3 linked regions of the Rattus norvegicus genome follow. Each later gene encodes a partner of the first gene's protein in a complex. Links are inferred from orthologs where the notes say so. Each region holds a gene or a part of one and is shown on either strand. Other genes may lie near its edges.

Region 1 (3,649 bases):
GTTCTGAACTTTCATCATGCGAACCGATTTTGCTTTCTGATATTTATGATGTGCTCTTTCAAATCCACATCCTTACAGTGCCTCATTCTGCACATTTGTATATTCTCGGCTGACCCCTTGCATGGCTGTTACTTATTCTTTAGGATTCAAATCATACATCACCTTTACCCTTTGTAAATGTCCTTACCTGCTTCCTCTACGCCCCTAGGGTACTATAGAATACCCTCAATTTCCTTATCAGTCCTCAATTCCAATTCTTAAAACCACAACGTATCAACTTATTTGCCGAACTGCATTGTAACTCCTTATACTATGATCCCAAAAAAGCAAGAACTGATGGTTTTACAATCCGTATCCTCATCATCCTGCACATTCGCTTGCTCAAAGCAGATGCTTGAATGCAGGACAAAAGCACAGAGAATTCGCTATCAAAGGTGTTGGCAGGGGGGAAAAAGCTAAACAAAACCAGAAAGGGGGGAAAAAAAACCTACGACCCCCTGGGAATTAATTTTAATTGTGTGTTCCTTCTAAGACGTCATCTCTCCTCTGGGCCTTAAGAATCCATTTGTTCTTTTCTAGCTGACATTTTAATGGTCGGCACACATGATTATATTCAAGAAAGAGAACTTTTTTTCATGTTTTATTCATTCCTGTGAGTTTAACTAAAGACAGAAATGCATGAGGAGGGGGGAAATGGAAACGGATTGTATTTGTAATCGCTATGGTGAAGTTTGACACACTGAACTGGCTTATACGTGGCCAGAACTTAGAACTAAAGCAGGTGATACTTAAAACCACAATACGTTTTCTGTCTTTTCTTCTTTCTTCCGCAGTTATTTGTTTCACTACATCTGCCAGGACAGGATTGTGTATCTTTGCATCACGGATGACGTAAGTAACCTGAAGATCTATTGCTGTTTCACTGTGTGTACGAATGTAGCCGATTATCAATCATCTCTACAGAAGGGTGGGTAACAGCGACACAAAAAGTACAGTTTTTTTCTTTGCTTTGCATTTGTTATAAAGAGAATCTTAGGACAAACACTGATACTAAAATGTATATAATTCAGCTCAGTTTTGATACTTTTTGCTCAATCACTCTGAATCTCTGTCAACAAACAGTGTGTTGAAATTGGCCTCCGTGGTGGTTATTTTTGTTTTCAGACCTTTTATTTTTTATATTTTTGTTTCAATAAAAGAAGAGAGCCACCCCGCCTCCCATTTTTAGGAGTCCACAAAACCAAGCGCTAACCAGTGTAACGTATATGCAGAGGACCTAGCAAGGTTAGCTAGATTTGGTTTAAACGAAGCGGAAACGACTTTCAATGACAGATTTCACGACAAAGTCCCGCGTTATCTGAAAGGACTGATGCGAAAACGTTGGGGTGGATGAAAATTGTCACAGAACTTCAAATGGTGTGTGTTGAGCGGCAAAATTCTTAAGCTGTGATTTCAGTCGTGAGCTGCCGGACCTGGGTGCTGGAACCAAACTCGGGTCTTCTCAAGGAGCGACTAGCACCTGTAACCACTGAGCCGTCTCTCCAGCCCTCAATCTATCTTACTTTTCTGGATTTATTGACTGTCTCCTGATGTCGGTTCTCACGGTCGATTATCTGAAGGGACTGGAAGGTCGGTTATCTGAAGGGACTGGAAGGATTAAAAGTCAGTCCATTATCATCAAGGCGGGAGCACGGCAGCCTCCAGGCAGGATGGTGCAGGAGGCGGTGTCAGTTCTCCGTTCTTCACCTGAAGGAAGCCAGGGACAGCCTGAGCACCCGCAGGCAGCTAGGAGGAGGGTCTCCATGCCCACCCAACAGTGACACACTTCCTCCAACAAGGCCACACCTTCTAATGGCGCCACGCCCAGGGCCGAGCTTATGCAAACCATGACCGGCTCTCAGCTTTGTAATTTACTAGCGGTTTGATTGATGGCAAGTTCGTTGTCTTTTGGAGTCTTTGGTTTCTGATCTACGAAACATGGTTAGGGTTAGGGTTAGGACTAGGGTTAGGACTAGGTCAGGGCCAGGATCAGGGTCAGGGGTCAGAGGTCAGGGTCATCAACCTCCCACATGTATGTGTTTAATTTGTAAATATGAGTACAATCTTGCTCATTCTGTAGGATTTCGAGCGTTCTCGGGCCTTCGGTTTTTTGAATGAAGTGAAGAAGAGGTTCCAGACCACATATGGCTCGAGAGCACAGACCGCACTTCCCTATGCCATGAACAGTGAGTTTTCGAGCGTTCTGGCTGCACAACTGGTAAGGTTTCTCTCAGGTTGTGGTGATTTAATTTATGTTATATTTATATTATTTATTATTATATTATTTATATTTTATTTTTCTTCTTTACAACCTTCACACATCGTGAATCCAGGGGCTCTGACCTGGAGAATGTAACATAAGAAAACTTTTATATTTTATATAAGAAAACTTTTATACTTTATATAATGCACCAGACATGTCACCTGGCCTTTTAACCTATATAGAAAACTTTTTCACATCCATGAAGCAAGTTGGATTTTTGAGGCTCAAATGAATCATGGGAAAATCTATTCATCTGCGTAACTTCCTCGTTGTCAACGGAATTGATGGTGTGTGTGTGTGTGCGTGTGTGTCTGTGTGTGTGTGTGTGTAACTCTGAAATGCTACCATAGTAAAGATAAAAAACCCTTTGATTCCCGTAAACTTTCCCCCATCTCCCTTCCTAGGAAGTCGCCAAAGCAAATATTTTTACCCAGCAAATCACTAATCTATATTTTACCTCTGTAGATTAGTTCTGTCTTTCTAGATTTTTTTTTTAAGTACAGTCAAAAAGTGGGTACCCTGATGGGTCTTTTACTGCTCTACCCATTTGTCTGTTGCTAGGTATTTGCGTTGCCATTAGTTTTTAACAATAATAAGTAAACCTCTGTGAATCTCAAGTCTTTGTGTGGACAAATGTTTTTATTTCTCTGGGAAATCGCTAGGGATGAAATTTCTGGGCCATATGGTGAGTGATAAGTAATTTAAAAATTTGTCGACTTCCTGTGTTTACCGGAAGTCCCACACCCGCGGATCCCGGCCCGCAGCAGCTCTCTGCTCCCAAACCCCGTGGGAGAGAGACCTCACCGCCTGATCAGGTGGGCACTCCTGAGGCTGCAGAGCGGAGGAGACCACCAACACTGCCCACCCCTGCCCACATCCCTGGCCCAAGAGGCAACTGTATAAGGCCTCTGGGCTCCCGTAGGGGAGGGCCCAGGGGCGGGAGGACCCCTGCGCCTGAGACACCGCCGGAACCTGAAGGAAACAGACCGGATAAACAGTTCTCTGCACCCAAATCCCGTGGGAGGGAGAGCTAAACCTTCAGAGAGGCGGACACGCCTGGGAAACCAGAAGAGACTGCACTCTGTGCACATCCAGACGCCAGAGGAAAACACCAAACGCCATCTGGAACCCTGGTGCACGGAGGCTCCCGGAAAGAGCGGCGCAGATCTTCCCGGTTGCTGACGCCGCGGAGAGGACTTAGGCAGTACCCCACGAGCAAACTTGAGCCTTGGAACCACAGGTAGGACCAACTTTTCCCCTGCAAGAAACCTGCCTGGAGAACTCAGGACACACAGAGGCAAAATTCCTCTAGGACCGGGCACTTCCTGTGTTTACCTGAAGTCCCAC
Region 2 (3,749 bases), on another chromosome or scaffold:
AGCTGCTGGCGCACATCAGTGCGAAGGGCTGTTAGCAGGAAAAGGAGCCTTAAGTCAAAGAACTGGACTTCGTGGGGATAGCTCCTTTTGCGGTACAGTCCCACACGTTCCGCTAGCCTCACCACCAGTCGAGCCTCTGCTGCTAGCATCTGTGCTGTAGGACTGCTGAGCACAAGATTACACAGGCATTTGAGAGACTCGAGGAGGACATCCATGTCTGGGGGCTGTGGGATGGGCTCCTCTGAGATGGCAATGTCGGCATAGCAGGCTAGTGCGTGTAAACTCTGGCGGCTAGCAAATGAGTCCAGGCAGCTGCGGTCTCGGGATAGGATTCGGATAGTCTGCAGCCAGGTGACACGGTGTTTTGGTGACAAGCCCTGCTCCAGTACGGAGACCAGCAGCTTTGCGAGTCTCTGTGGGAAGGGACAAAAATGGTTCCACTAGGCCCTCTTCTTGGGGCAGCCCGTGCTTGCCCTAGGAACCCCCTTGGGCTGACACCTACCTTCCTGTCCTCCTGCTGTGCATCATCGAAGGTGAAGCTCTGGGAATGCTGCAGGGAGACCCAGGAAGCTCAGTTCCACACGCAGGTAGGACCTGTGCTCCTCGAGAAGCAGCAGGTCTGCTTCTACCTCTGAAGCAGCAGCCATCGCTGTGTACGTAAAGCAAGGCCCACCCTCGCCACCCATACACCTGACTACCACAGAGGCACCGCCGTGGCCCAGCCCACCACCCACCGCCCTGCTCCCTGCCACACTCGCACGCACACCCCAGCCGAGTGGCGAGCAACCGGCTGCTTCCTCACTTCCTGCAATTTCCTCGGCAGCTGGATGCCTCTCACCTCTCGGTTAAACGACCGCAGAGCTTCTGTCACCGCATCTTCCTCTCCCGTCTCCAAGGCATCCGCAACTGCCCGGGGCTCCATGGCCCCTGGCACGGGGTGCTAGAAGACTTGGGCTGGGAAGACGCAATCGGCCAAACCCGGGGACTCCGCCCAGGTCCGGAAGCCCAGCGTCCACGCGTGAGGAATGCTGGGAGAACAGCCGAGCCTAGGGTGTGTACAGGCGCGGGGCTGGCCTCCGGCTTAAGGTGGAGCAACCCGGCTGTGGCCGCTGAGCGGCTTGTCTTGGAGCAGCGATGCTAGCTAACTAAGCAGTATCCTCCTTTTGAGCCCTTCTCTCTAGCCCGACTTCCTGGCGGGCGGGGGTGGGGAGTGGGGTGTGGCTTGGCCGGCGCGTAAACCTTTCTCCTTACACTCTTGTTCCCGTACTGTGATAAAAGAGGGAGCGCCGGCTCCTGGCCGCTTAGTCAGTTGGGGAAGACGATTCTCGCGGTCATCTTCCTGATGCTCATCTTCCACGGGAAATAAGGAAAGAGAAGTACGACTTGGATGGTCAAAATAATGTACGTGGTTAGCCGGGCATAGTAACGCACGCTTTTTTAAATTTCAGCACTCGAGAGGCAGAAACGGGCAGACCTATCTAAAAACAATCAAAAAACCAAACCACCAAAATAATGTGGTTATCAAAAGAAAAGGGCAATTGCAGAGTGTATGAGGAAGGATCGGAGAGAAGGAAGTGAAGAACACCGGTGGAAAAGCGACTCCCGCGGGAGGAGCAACGGAGGGGCGGCTAGCCGCGGCGTGTCTGGGGTTAGAAGCGTAGGAACGTTGTATAGTGGGGAGCCAGGTCTGCATGCCACTTAGCTTAAGGCAGAGTCGGTGCACCCCACGGTGACACAAGCAATGTTCCAGAGGATAATGCCGCCCGCTGTGCTAACCGGCGCTTGCCTCTACTCAGTGTCAGGTCCTTTGCCAGTCTCTTTCGCTTCTGCTCGTCCTCCCCATCCTGTCGTTCTCACTTGGGGACTTTGCAGCGCCCGAGGTACCCGACCCTCGGCTCCAGGTTGGGGTCTGAGCTCCTGCTCCGGGTAATACCCACAGCGCGGGACTAATACTGCTGACCAATCCGTAGGCCCGAATGCTGGCGGCCCGCCCTTCCCTTATTTACATTCCAGTGTAGAACTACAAGTCTGTTTCTTCCGCTTCAGACTCTTCTCCCGGAAGTTATTAGACCTGAGGCGGAACCGGAAGACCCAGGTAGTGGTGCCACGTCCGTCGCTGTGTTGCCTACTCCCCGAGTGGGACCTCGGAAGGCGCGATGGCAGATTGGACTCGAGGTGAGCGCACCTGAAGGTAGTTGGGATAGGAGGCAAGGTCTAAGTCTGGAGTACGAGCCATCAATTTTTCCTCGGTGGAGGGATCTGCGTGGGATGGCGCTTACGTATTCCAGGAAAAACAGGGCCAGATTTCAACTGGCACTGCCTTGGAACCCAAGCCGGCATGACATCAGTTTGTGTGTATGGTTGATGCCAAGGGCTGGAAGCAGAAGGTCCAAGCAGGGACTTACAGGGCTCAAGTGCCTCGTTTCACACACACCCTCCGCCCCCGTGCCTGTGTTCAGTCTGACAGTTGTGATACTGAGGCTTCTACTATACTAACTATGTAGTGGTTGGTAGGACACAGCCGTCTGTCTTTTAGAGTCTGGTCGCCCCTGTTTGCTGGTGCTGCTGGCTTTCCCCTTAGGTGGGTCATATCGAGGCTGGATTTTTATGCTTCAGACCAGTGCCAGTCACACTTAGGCAGGTGATTCTCAACTACATACCGTGACAGAAATTCTTCATGTCTAGTCTCTGTCCGTCGGAGTAAGGTTTCCACAGGAGAGTGCTCTGGGGCTTCTAGAGATCCTGTGTGGGTTGTAGCAGTAGGGATTGGTAGTTTCTACAGTAAAAGGCCTTTCTTACACTTACCTTGGACTTGATTCCTAAGTCATCCCCACACAGCCTTCCTGTCACCTGCTTTGTTGTTCTGTTCTGTTTTCCCTATAATCCCTACCAGATTGAGACCTGTCCCATACTCTCAGATGGTGATTTCAGCTAAGGCAATATTCATTTTGGTCCAGGAACAGTATACAACAGGGTAGTGTAGATTGACCTGCTGGTTCCCTGTCTCTGCCTGGGCATTGCACACAAGTACTCCCATGACCCATGCTTCCTGTCTGGTGTGTAGGTGGTCTACCTGTTGGAACATAGGGTGGAACATGCTAAGTGAGCAGAAGGATATGGGTGGAATGCCCTTAGAGGTCTCACCAGGCCAGGCTCCACTGGAGCAAGGAGCCAAGGACCACATTTATGAGTGAATTCTACCCTTCAGCCTCTTTGTCTTGCAGCTCAGAGTTCTGGTGCTGTGGAGGAGATTCTAGACAGAGAGAACAAGCGGATGGCTGACAGCCTGGCCTCTAAGGTCACCAGGCTTAAATCGGTTAGTGGTGGCCCTTTTCCCTTCCATGAGACACTTTGGTGAGTGGGGCTGAGTGGGTAGAAAGGAAGCCATGCTGTCCGTGGGTGTGCTGACTGAGGAATGCTTCAGGTAATACCTTGGCCTTTTTAGCTTTTTCTAGTAATAGGTACCTAGCAGAATCTGAAGGGAAGATGGGCACTGCACTCTGTGTCCTTGCTTGACTGTGCCTTCTGTATCCCAACCAGCTGGCTTTGGACATCGACAGGGACACGGAAGACCAGAACCGATACCTAGATGGCATGGTAAGTGCCTGTATTACGTACAAATCATAGTCAGCTCTACCCCCATGCCGCCTGCTCTTCTGCCTCTAACCCTTCAGCGCTAGTACAGTTGGGCCGTCACAGATCCCAGCTCTATGTGATCCCGTTGGGTCTCTCCCGCAGGACTCAGATTT
Region 3 (3,749 bases), on another chromosome or scaffold:
AAATCAAGCAACACCACTCTTGGCCTATCTTTGAATTTTATGAGAAAAATATAAGAGTTTGCACCACTGCTAACAACATCAGACTTTATCTTTGCACAATGCATTTTACAATTTTTTTCATTGAATTTAATGGTCAATGGATTCAAGCTTGTAAACCTAGGGCCTCAAAGACAAAAATCACCAGTAACCCACTTTACCATATACCTTGGAAGATGGATTACAGGATTTGCTTATGTTAGATAAGTGTACCCTCAGCTACATCCTCAGCCATATGTGTGTGTGTGTGTGTGTGTGTGTGTGTGTGTGTGTGTGTGTATTTCCATGTATAAATACTGAGCTCCCACGCAAACTTTTGAGAGTAGGCTCTTTGTGTAAACCCTGCCAACAGTATACATAGGAATTTATACCTATGAAAGAACAGAGAAGACTTCATAATTGTTAATATGTTTTATGTAAGGGCAGATAAGACATGCTAAGACGGGGCTGGGGATTTAGCTCAGTGGTAGAGCGCTTACCTAGGAAGCGCAAGGCCCTGAGTTCCGTCCCCAGCTCCGGAAAAAAAAAAGAACCAAAAAAAAAAAGAGAGAGAGAGAGAGACATGGTAAGACGGGTCTGTTTTCCACACCAAATCATACATTACTCAAGGGCAAAGGCAAAGATATTTTGATCAATATTTAACTTATCAAAATGGCTATTCTTAACCTGTTGTGAATGAGAACCCGGCGCAGCCTAATGGACTGGACTGGCTCAGCCCCTAAAAGCTTTGTGTATTCTGGGAGCACAGTGCTCATTTTCCTGTTCTGAAAGCATGTGACCCTGGCCACTTAATCTCCCCAGTTATAGAGCTTTACCATCCGAGAAGAGCAGGGCAAGCCTCTGCTCTTCTATCTATCTAGGGCTGAGACTGAACTGAAGTCAGGTGGCAGAATGAAGTGCAATGACAGCTAGGCACTTGTGCTATCCAGTCGCTGCGCAACAGGGCTGGCACTCCAGGCCCTCCCTGCACAGCCGCCCTTCCTCACTTAACTACAACCCCCAGCATGCACTGCAGGACCGGCGGGCCCGAATGAGGCGTCCGAGGCGCCCGTCCCGCGGGCTCCCTTGGGCTCTTCGCTTTGGTACCTCCCCTGTGCCCACTGCCTGTCTCCAGGTTGGAGACAGCAGCTCGCCTTGGCGCCAGGCCGCGCCCCTATAGTAGCCGGGTGTCGTCCTCGCCTGGCTTTCTGTCAGGCTTTGGCGCTCGCACAGTGACAACAGGGGGGAGGGCGTCCGGCTCGGAGGACCCCGGAAACGCCTGATTCCGGGAGGCCGAGGTGCGGCAGCGGTGATGGCTTTGGGGCCGGGTAGCTGATTCCTGAGGTGGGAGTGGGCCCAGCGCCCGGAGTCTCAGTGGCCGCAGCTCACGAGCAACCTGCACTATGGCCACTTCCGCCGCCTCCTCCGAGCATTTCGAGAAGCTGCACGAGATCTTCCGCGGCCTCCTTGAAGATCTACAAGGGGTGCCGGAGCGGCTGCTGGGAACCGCGGGGACCGGTGAGGCGGGGGCGGGACCAGACCGGTAGAACTCCGCAGGGTGCGGGATCCCAAACGCAATCCCGGGCTCCCGGCTTCCAACTCGGGCACGCCCCCTGCTGCTGTCCAGCCCCGGGCGCCCAGGATCTGCAGCCTCTTGTGACTGGGGGCGTGCAATGGGATCGACATTAGGATGTCGTCTCCTAGCGAGCCTCCCACGTCCTAGCCCCCAAATTCTTAGTTCTCCTCCTCTCCCAGCAGCATAGGGCGTTCTTAAATCTACGGTCCTGTGTTTCGTTAAGACGACTTTTTTATATATAAAAAAAAAAGAAACTTAGTTTGGGGTTGGGGATGTAGGAATTTGGTTGGTAGGCAATGAAAATTTAAAAATAGTTGTAAAGCTTATAGGTAAGACAGTGGTGGGAGGTGAGGGGAGTAAAACAGCCACTTAAAGAGGAACCTGAATGTCTCACATTAAGATTTTTGACGTAATAGGGTAAATCAGTAAGGAACATAAGCAGCTGAGTAATGTGGATTTCATTTTAGAAGCAAGGCGGCGGATAGCTGGATAGAGGATGTGAGAATGGCTATAAGAGACTGTGTTAGGAGCTTCCGTGACAGTTGACTAGGTAAGCATGGGAATCTGGAGAGTGAGCATTAAATCTAACAGGTGGTTCCGAGGCAGAGATTTATGAGATTGGTGGATATGAGTAGGAAGAAAGATTGAAGAGGGTCCGTGTTTTCTCACGTGATCAGTTGAGTGAATGAACTTAAATAAGAGGCGCAAACTCGTTTGAGCTGTAGATGAGAATGTCTACCTGTAGATTAGAGATAACAGTGTGTTCTGTACCAAGCATGACAAAATATTTTTCTGCCATTAAAAACATTATGAAGAATTTATTAATCTAGTAAATACAGTAAAAATTAAGAGATTAACAGTAGTGAACACTTTTAATCTCAGCACTTGGGAGGTACAAATAGGAGAATCTCTGTGAGATCAAGGCCAGCCTGGTGTACACAGCAACACAGAGATTTCCAGACCAGCTAGATTTTACATCTTGAGACTCTATTTAAAAAGAGAGAGATTCTAGAGCCAGAAGTTATATATACCTTTTATTAGTTATGTGATCTTGCAAGTTATTTTAACCAAACTAGTTTCTACTATAAAGTAAAACATAGCATCTAACTGAATGGGGTTTTTGAGTAAATGAGATATGTAAAGCTCTTTAAAATTACTGTCTGACAATAGTAAGAGCTACCAGCTATTATTAATATGTTTGCTATTTTATTTAGAAATATTAGCTCTCTATACAGTTATTCTTAGGATGCCCATTTCATTTGTTTGTTTTTGCTTTTTGGGTTTGTGTTTGTTTTCCAAGACAAGGTTTCTCTTGTGTATACCAGGCTGGCCTCAAACTCAGAGATCCTCCTGCCTCTGCCTCCCAAGTGAGAGCCAGTAAACTGGAAATGAAATAGTATTTTTGCTTGCTTGTTTAGCATATGACCTAAACTCCCAGGAACAGTACCCAGCACATCCTAGGTATCTGATAAATATTTGCTAGATATGTCTGGGGTGGTGGTGCATGCCTTTAGTCCTAGCACTTGGGAGGCAGAGGCAGGAAATCTCAGTGAGTTCAAGGCCAGCCTAGAGTATACAGTGAGACTCTGTTTCAAAAAAAAAAAAAATACTACATATTGTATTTGTTAAATTACTGTAAAAACCATTTTTGGTTGTTAAAGGTACTATGAGTTCTTAGAAGAAAATAGCTGGGTATCGAAGCAGAATAATTTATTTCTCTCCCTTTTATTCACATTCATTACTCTTCAAATTGATGTGTACACTGGTTAAAACACCCAAAGTGAAAGAGAGACTTATTTCCTCAAGGTATAGTCTGTATTCTCGTGGCCCTGGAGGGATCGCTGCCACAGTGTGTCCTAATCTAGGAGGTTTGTGGCAGTAACAGTCTTACCATGTATGGAAATCATTAGACTTTTATAGTCTTCATCACCTACATCTGGTATCTCTTATCTTGACATTGCATCTTCTGAAGAGATTTCTCAAAAGCCTCAGAAGTGATAGAATTTTGTCATCTGATTAATATGTTAAGTGCTTATGGTTATTGTTTTAAGTTTTGGTTTTGTGGTACCTGTAGACATGTGTCCTTATAATAAGGTTATTGACAGTTTTCCATTTTAGTTTGCGTGAAGTCCAGTATGGATGCCTGAGACCTCAGTTT

The links.
Region 2: Vamp7 (region 1) and Bet1l share a complex: the UniProt entries of both Homo sapiens proteins name them as parts of the SNARE complex. The link is inferred for Rattus norvegicus from reciprocal best matches to the Homo sapiens genes VAMP7 and BET1L.
Region 3: Vamp7 (region 1) and Vti1b share a complex: the UniProt entries of both Homo sapiens proteins name them as parts of the SNARE complex. The link is inferred for Rattus norvegicus from reciprocal best matches to the Homo sapiens genes VAMP7 and VTI1B.

Annotation. Positions count from the first base shown.
Region 1 is NC_086030.1:21,852,211-21,855,859, forward strand, and holds part of Vamp7 (vesicle-associated membrane protein 7), read left to right. Parts: intron 1-833; coding exon 834-891; intron 892-2,119; coding exon 2,120-2,257; intron 2,258-3,649. UniProt on the Homo sapiens protein: Involved in the targeting and/or fusion of transport vesicles to their target membrane during transport of proteins from the early endosome to the lysosome. Required for heterotypic fusion of late endosomes with lysosomes and homotypic lysosomal fusion.
Region 2 is NC_086019.1:205,362,200-205,365,948, reverse strand, and holds the start of Bet1l (BET1-like protein), read left to right. Parts: upstream 1-1,242; 5' UTR 1,243-1,401; intron 1,402-2,046; 5' UTR 2,047-2,156; coding exon 2,157-2,175; intron 2,176-3,224; coding exon 3,225-3,316; intron 3,317-3,540; coding exon 3,541-3,597; intron 3,598-3,738; coding exon 3,739-3,749. Other genes in the region: Ric8a (synembryn-A), read right to left, coding at 1-413, 503-550, 839-922. UniProt on the Homo sapiens protein: Vesicle SNARE required for targeting and fusion of retrograde transport vesicles with the Golgi complex. Required for the integrity of the Golgi complex.
Region 3 is NC_086024.1:103,706,834-103,710,582, reverse strand, and holds the start of Vti1b (vesicle transport through interaction with t-SNAREs homolog 1B), read left to right. Parts: upstream 1-1,095; 5' UTR 1,096-1,418; coding exon 1,419-1,533; intron 1,534-2,058; exon of another isoform or gene 2,059-2,141; intron 2,142-3,749. UniProt on the Homo sapiens protein: V-SNARE that mediates vesicle transport pathways through interactions with t-SNAREs on the target membrane. These interactions are proposed to mediate aspects of the specificity of vesicle trafficking and to promote fusion of the lipid bilayers.